Linked DNA regions of Arabidopsis thaliana. The protein of the gene in region 2 purifies or fractionates together with the protein of the main gene of each other region. This does not show direct contact. Each region holds a gene or a part of one and is shown on either strand. Other genes may lie near its edges.

Region 1 (3,755 bases), 7.2 Mb from region 2:
TCACTTCAATGATTAGATCTTCAATCATGGCTTAGAAAAGAAACACAATACTATCATCTTAAGTCTTTGTTCATTACTTCAAAAAGAGAGGGTAATAGGGTTACGCGTATAAAGACTCACCAGGAATTTGCATGACAAGACTCTTAGCACGTTCTAAGTGTTCGTACTCTCCTCTTACGAGTTACAAGATTGAAGAGGTTTCCATCCTATAAAGACGATCAAGAATATATAATAAGAAATGCTTACTTTAATCAAGTCAATCTTCTCTTGATGTATCACAGGTCTTCACCTACCTTTTCGTAGTCACGAAGCCATTTTTCTTCTTCCTTAGCTTGCTTCCAGGTTTCAACTGCATCTATTATGCCTTTCCTTCTTAAAGCTTCAGATTTTGCTTCCTCATATTAGCATCCAATGCAGCACCAATATCAGATAGAGCACGATCACCTGACAAGATAACTTATCTTTTAAGCATATCTAAATTGCTGTTTTTTTCTTACAAATAGAAGAGTTCTTCACTTACCCTCATTATCAGTTAGCTCAATACTGCCTGTCGAGCTCGACAAAATGCCTTTAACTCGTATTGCTTCTGAAGTACATTCACCTTCAGGGTTTCCCCAGTTTTAGTTTTCTTTGCCACTTTGTCAGCCTTGTCTTTATTAGCAATCCTCTTCGTTTTGGGAGCACCAGTGGATTCCTTTCTTTTACCAGCATCATTAGTACTCGTCTTGGGAAGATATTTTGCACAACTCCATTTTTGTTTTTTCTTAGGGTGATGAATGACTTGGCCTGAGGTGAGAAATTGAGAGTGTAGAGACTTTTGCCTTTGTAGTTATACTCTGCCAAACTCCATCCTTTTAGCCAATCATCCACAAACTCTATGGGTAAATCATCATGATACCTTAAGTAAGCTAGTTTAGAAGAAGTGCTCACAACTTCTTGACCCATTTGAAACTGATGAACATAGTAATTGACACTGCCCCACTTTATAAGAGCACCATTGCAATTAAAATATCCAAGATGAACATTTTTAGTTGGATAAAAGAAGACCCACGACTTGTTGCTTTCTCCCTCTAGAAATTGAAAGTTGATGAAATCTCACTCCCATGGACTGCGATCAAATATTTCAAGATCGTCTATCCATGGAATTGCAACATCAACTCCAAAATCTACACTTTTAACCAAACTAATCATAAGTTAAATTTCAATTTACAATCGTTTATTAATATAGTGATTAAGTAAGTTATCAAGTATTAATTTATAGAGTTTTATTTTTGTATAAACTAACCACGAGTTAAGGAGGTGTTATTGGTTTATGATTTCAAAAGAGTTTTAGTGACTTAAAGTATCATGTAGAATCTGTTGTTATTTAATCAAAAAAATTTAAAAGTATGTTAAAAGTTTGTGTTATTCATTAAAGATTTGTAAAAAGTAATCTAAAAATCTTCATAAATTTTAGATTATTGAATTCATACTTTTATAAAGTCAGTAAATTTTTTGTGTTATTCTATTAAAACAAAAAAATCTCTGATTGTTTATGATTTAAATTATTATGTTATTGGTTCATGACTTTCTACATTTTCTTTCACAAAATAAAGTCATAGAAAGTCATGAATTTTTTTTCAAAAGATTGTTTTGAGAAACTTTAGAAGAAAATGTATTTAATTATAATATTCATAGCTGGAAATTGATCTAATATTTAATTATAATATTAAAGTTTCCAGTTATCCAAAAGAAGATGTGAGTTTTTTTGAACTTGGTAATTAAAAAAAGAAAGCAATATTTCAGATTTAATACAGATTCATAAGAAGGATCCATAAGAAATTAACTAAACCGGATCTGGTCTTGAAATAGTGACGGACGCGTGTCCCCCGGTCAGAGAGTTGCCGTCACAATCACGCGGAGAAAGAGCGACAAATCAAACCTTAACCGTTAAAACGTCATCGTTTCATATCCCCCCACAACCGAACCCCTTTCGTTCGCCCGTCTCTCTTAAATAAATCTTAGAGATTTCTGCAAAATTCGTCACTTCAATTTCAATTTTCAGATCTCAAAAACTTTTTCTCTTTTCCGATTCCAATCTTCTCTCGTCTGCTTTCCTCAAAGGTACGTTTTATCTTCCTTCTCATAGCTTCCGAAGAATCAATCTAGGGTTAGGTATTTCAATTCTGATCGGATTTTCTCTCTTCAGTGTTCTCTAATCTAATGGGAATTTCACATGTTTTCTCCAGGTTTTTTCATCACTTTATGCTTCACAAGCGAGCTAGTGAAGCTAACGATAAGAACGATAATACCATCATCGGTTCCGATTTAGCATCATCTAAGAAACGCCGTATCGATTTCACTGAATCTTCGTCTGATAAGTCTTCTTCGATTTTAGCTTCTGGTAGTAGCAGGGGTTTTCACGGCGATAGCGTCGTTCAGCAAATCGACATGGCTTTTGGTAATTCGAACCGTCAGGAGATTGATGAAGATCTGCACAGTCGCCAGCTCGCCGTCTATGGTCGTGAGACTATGAGGCGTCTCTTTGCTTCCAATGTTCTCATCTCGGGGATGCACGGTCTTGGTGCCGAGATTGGTATGTACTTCATTGGTTTTATGTTGAGATTGTGGTCTCCCTCGTCTCTTTGGTTTTTGAAACTTGTAGAAACACTGTTTTCGTATGCGTCGTTATTAGAAGCTGTGAATAATTGTGTCATCTTCAAAGATTTTACTCTTTAGTTGTTTTGTTTTGGTTCTCCTGATCTGTGATTGCTGGTATTCTTCAACATCCAAATCTTAGTAGCTTCCTGATGTTCCTTAGTTGTTCGATATCTTTGTTATTGGGGTTTCGTTATATGCCAGTTTTCTAAGATGCATGGTAAATGTGAACTGTTAATGATACTTTTTAGTCGATTGCTTTCTCATTCAGTTTTTGTTTTATTTGTTGATTTTCTTCAGCCAAGAATCTTATACTTGCTGGTGTGAAGTCTGTGACCTTGCATGATGAAAGAGTTGTAGAGCTATGGGACTTATCAAGCAACTTTGTTTTCTCGGAGGATGATGTTGGCAAGAATAGAGCAGATGCTTCTGTTCAGAAGTTACAGGATCTTAACAATGCTGTGGTTGTCTCTAGCTTGACCAAAAGCTTAAACAAAGAGGATCTTTCTGGCTTCCAGGTTTGTAGACAACTCATTTGTCTTGTTATTGGTTCTATATGGTCTGAGTCTTTTGTGTACTGTATCGTTCTGTAGATTACTTGTGAGTTTATGATAACACTGTAACTGAATGAGTAACATAAGAGTGGGTTGTTCTATTTTCGTTGCATATAAGAGATGGGTTTTGTCTCATTTAGTGTTAGGCTATTTCTAGTGTTTATTGATATTGATATGGAAGATTGGTGTACACTTTTCTCATTGGTGTGTGTTTCTTGTTGGCGGGTTTTACGCTGATACATCTACTTTTGTGCCAAACAGGTTGTTGTATTCTCTGACATAAGCATGGAAAGAGCAATCGAATTTGATGACTATTGTCACAGCCATCAGCCTCCTATCGCTTTTGTCAAGGCTGATGTCAGGGGTCTTTTCGGCTCTGTCTTTTGTGATTTTGGGCCTGAATTTGCGGTTCTTGATGTTGATGGAGAGGAACCCCATACAGGCATCATTGCGTCTATCTCTAATGAGAACCAGGCATTTATTTCCTGTGTCGACGATGAGAGGCTTGAGTTTGAAGATGGTGACCTAGTTGTTTTCTCAGAAGTTGAGGGTATGACAGAATTG
Region 2 (3,755 bases):
GTGAGAATTTGGAAACAAAGAAAACCAAGAGGAATTCCCAAAGCATCTATCCAATCTACACTGAATCCATTGACCATTTCTAGTCCCTCCCCAAGTAAAGCCATTGCTTGTACTACCTAGTTCATGCATATCACAAGTATTCAACATGTCTTGAAAAGATTGAAACGAAGAAGGTACTCTTCTCGGACCCCTCTCTTTCCCGTTTTCGACTTAATATCATTGAAGTCACCTATCATACACCAAGCTTGCTTCCGATGTGATCCAAGACTACACAACTTATCCCAAACCTAAGGCCTAAGATATGTCACCAGATGCCCATAAACACAAGAAACAAAGCATACTTTATTTCTAGAAGAACACTGAAGATCCAAAAGATGTTTATCATCAAAAAGAATCTCAATGTCCAAATGGCTTTTCCAAAAGATTGCTAAGCCACCACTTCTCCCTTGAGGTTCTATTGTATACATATAGTTATAACCAAGCCAATCAATAACTTTTGAAACAAACTCGTCAGGATTCATAGTCTCCATGAAGAATAAAATGTCCGAGATATGATTTTTTTTCATCTCCTTAAGGTGTCGAATTGTCCAAGGATTCCTCAAGCCTTGACAATTCCAACTAAGGACGCCTTACTGATCCAACGGTGGTTCACTTGGAACCACCGTATTCTTGTCTCTCTTGAAACTTTGAGCTTCTGTAATGTCTGAGGGTTTTCTTTTCCTTTTGAACACCTTTTCAAAATGAGGAGAGGCAGGAGACTGAATAACCTTATTCTTCAGAGACAGCTCATTAACTAGTTTTTCTTTCCTGAACTGAAAAGGAGTGAAATCCTGCATTATATGATGTTTAAACCCTGAAGTGGAGGAACTAGCCTCACCAACACATGTGGTAAATCCAGTACTAATGTCCAAATCTAGCATCTCAGCTAACAAAGTATTCTCTGGATGACTATCAATTGCAACAGTAGCTGATAGAGGATTTGCTGGCAAAGCATCTACCCTTCCTTTGGGAGCAATTGACTGAAAGGGAAACTCAGCCAGCCTCGGTAAAAACATCTTCTTCTGTTTGCCTTTCTCTTGTAATGATCTCACATCATGTTTGATGGAATCTAAGACTTTGGATGGGCATCTATTTTTATCATGAGTTAATCTTTGACACAAGAAACATCTCTTTCTAATCTGTTCATAGTCAAAAGAAATTGTGACAACTTCACCAGATGGAAGTTGTACCTCTTTATTGTTACGAAGTGGATTGGCGACATGAAACAAAACCCGAACACGAACATAGTCCTGAAACTGTGATTTTTCAGAGTCCATCACCACCTCCTTCACTTCCCCAATACAGCTCGTGATCTCTTTAATTGTGTCCTGAGTATAATAGTTCACCGAAATATTCCTCACTCGACCCCAGATTGGAAGAAAATTCAGATAATCAATTGGAGGATTCTCAATCCATCTATCCATGACTACACCCCAATTTATCTTCTGTCCAAACTCCAATTTTCATAATTTCTTCTAAATCTTCCTCAGATTTGAAGAAAAATTGGAATCGATCCTTTGAGAGAGCAACACCTCTAACCCGAGAAGAAATTCTCCAAATTCGTGGCATATCTAATATCCAATTAGACATCCTTTGATTCTCTAGATTCAAAAACCTACCCAACTAACGACAGTTGTTTCTGTTAATTGAACAAAAGCGCGGTTGATCAGAAAGAATCAGAGGCTTATTGTCTTAAATCGACATATTCTGAATGGCTTTATCCAGCTCCATGATGAGATCCTGATAGAGAGTAAACAACTTTCCCGAACTCGTCAAACCTGATTTGCAGGAAACAAACTCCAAGAGAAAAAACAGTGAAGAAATCCGAGTAATTCAGATGATAACCAACACAGAACTGAGAATCACAAAGCAAACTCTCGTAACAGAGAAAGAGTCAGAACTACCAAAAATCCGAGGAAGAAAACAACAATTTAGACCGGACCGAACACGTAAATATTTCTGGTAGAAGCTCCGTTCAGAATAGAACACCTGAGAGAAAAGTCTTTAGGCTCCAAATTAACTGGGACGACTATTGTTTTAACGGCTAGTTTCAGCTACTAAGAGAAAGAAGAGAGAGAAAAACTTTTTGTCAAACTCTTTTTGTGAACTCCTTTTCTTAGATGACAACACTTATGAGAAAAAAAAAAAAAAATTAGTTTTGACGAGACACGGACATAAAAAAAAAAACTAGGGCAGAGTGACTGATACCAAAGGAGAAACAACAAAGAGACGAACTGAAGAAAAACCTCTCGGAAGAAGATGAGCAATTGGAAAACTCTTCTCCTTCGCATCGGCGAAAAGGGACCTGAGTACGGCACTTCCTCCGACTACAAAGACCACATCGTCAGTATCTCTCTCTCGATTCATCCTCGCTCTTAAACCCTAATTTTCTCACTACTCAAAACTTTTCCGATTCTCTATATACAGGAGACTTGTTTCGGTGTCATTCGTAGAGAAATCGAGCGTTCTGGAGATCAAGTTTTGCCTGTAAGTGACTTCGAGCCTTCAATTTTAGGATCTGTTGTGATGTATCTCTGTGGATATTATTATTGTGTGTTCTCATTATTTTTGTTTTCGTCTTAACAGTTTCTACTACAATGTGCTGAACAATTGCCTCATAAGATTCCTTTGTATGGGACTTTGGTAAGTCTCTTATAAACTAGTTACCTTGGCTTTTTCATTTCTGGGTATGTGTTGGATGTTGGGCTTGCATTTAGATGTGTTATATATGTGGAGGTTTTGATTGAGTATGTTATGGTATCTGTGAACTGATTCTTATCGAAGAATAATTAGCTCGAAGCAATAACGGAAGGCATTTAACTTGAAACAAATGAACACTTCAGAAACACAAATAATAGTGGAAATGCCCTTAAGGTGGATCATTTTGTGTCTATTATATCATATATAACATGTTGTAGGAATCTATTTATTCATAGTATTCATCAATATTTGCTAACTTCTGAGTAATAAAGAATGCTTGAATATTTTCTGTGTATAATTCTTATCTGTGTAAGTAGCATTTGGATCTATTTTTGAACTGAGATACCCTGTTCCCTGTTATAAATTAGTTCGATTTAATCTGATACACATACTTCGAAGTTTGATGGATGTCTTTCCACATGTTTAAGATTGGTTTGTTGAACTTGGAGAATGAAGATTTTGTCCAGAAGCTAGTAGAAAGTGTCCACGCTAATTTCCAGGTGAATAATCTAATCTGTACATCAAAGGCCAAGGATAAATTGATAACATAAGTTTTCTCAGTTACTTTTGTTTCTAATGTGACTGTTTTTCTTGGTCAAACATGCCAGGTCGCTTTAGATTCTGGCAACTGCAACAGTATCCGTATATTGCTTCGCTTTATGACTTCCCTGGTATGGTTGCTAATCATGTTTCATGGTTGCTTCGTCTATTTAATATGTTAGTTCATGTTTCTAATACACAGAAAGCGTCTAAAAAATAAAAGTGCGAAGTATATAGAACAGTATTTGTGAAAATTTTGAGATGTTTTGTCTATTTTCTAACATGTTTTAGTTGGGTTCTTTAGTTGTGCAGTAAGGTTATTCAACCTGCTTCTTTGATTGTCGTCTTCGAAACATTGCTATCATCTGCTGCCACTACTGTGGATGAAGAGAAAGGAAATCCATCATGGCAGCCACAAGCTGACTTTTACGTTATATGCATCTTGTCCAGCCTCCCGTGGGGAGGATCAGAACTCG

What was found. Proteins that work in one complex are often made in the same cells at the same time.
Region 1: the proteins of ABH1 (region 2) and UBA1 fractionate together in Arabidopsis thaliana (co-fractionation; one large-scale study listed by BioGRID). This does not show direct contact.

Annotation. Positions count from the first base shown.
Region 1 is NC_003071.7:12,855,859-12,859,613, reverse strand, and holds the start of UBA1 (ubiquitin-activating enzyme 1), read left to right. Parts: upstream 1-1,886; 5' UTR 1,887-2,103; intron 2,104-2,228; 5' UTR 2,229-2,244; coding exon 2,245-2,575; intron 2,576-2,937; coding exon 2,938-3,155; intron 3,156-3,452; coding exon 3,453-3,755. UniProt on the Arabidopsis thaliana protein: Activates ubiquitin by first adenylating its C-terminal glycine residue with ATP, and thereafter linking this residue to the side chain of a cysteine residue in E1, yielding a ubiquitin-E1 thioester and free AMP.
Region 2 is NC_003071.7:5,634,755-5,638,509, forward strand, and holds the start of ABH1 (ARM repeat superfamily protein), read left to right. Parts: upstream 1-2,129; 5' UTR 2,130-2,298; coding exon 2,299-2,382; intron 2,383-2,466; coding exon 2,467-2,526; intron 2,527-2,625; coding exon 2,626-2,682; intron 2,683-3,167; coding exon 3,168-3,239; intron 3,240-3,347; coding exon 3,348-3,410; intron 3,411-3,583; coding exon 3,584-3,755. UniProt on the Arabidopsis thaliana protein: Component of the cap-binding complex (CBC), which binds cotranscriptionally to the 5'-cap of pre-mRNAs and is involved in various processes such as pre-mRNA splicing and RNA-mediated gene silencing (RNAi) by microRNAs (miRNAs).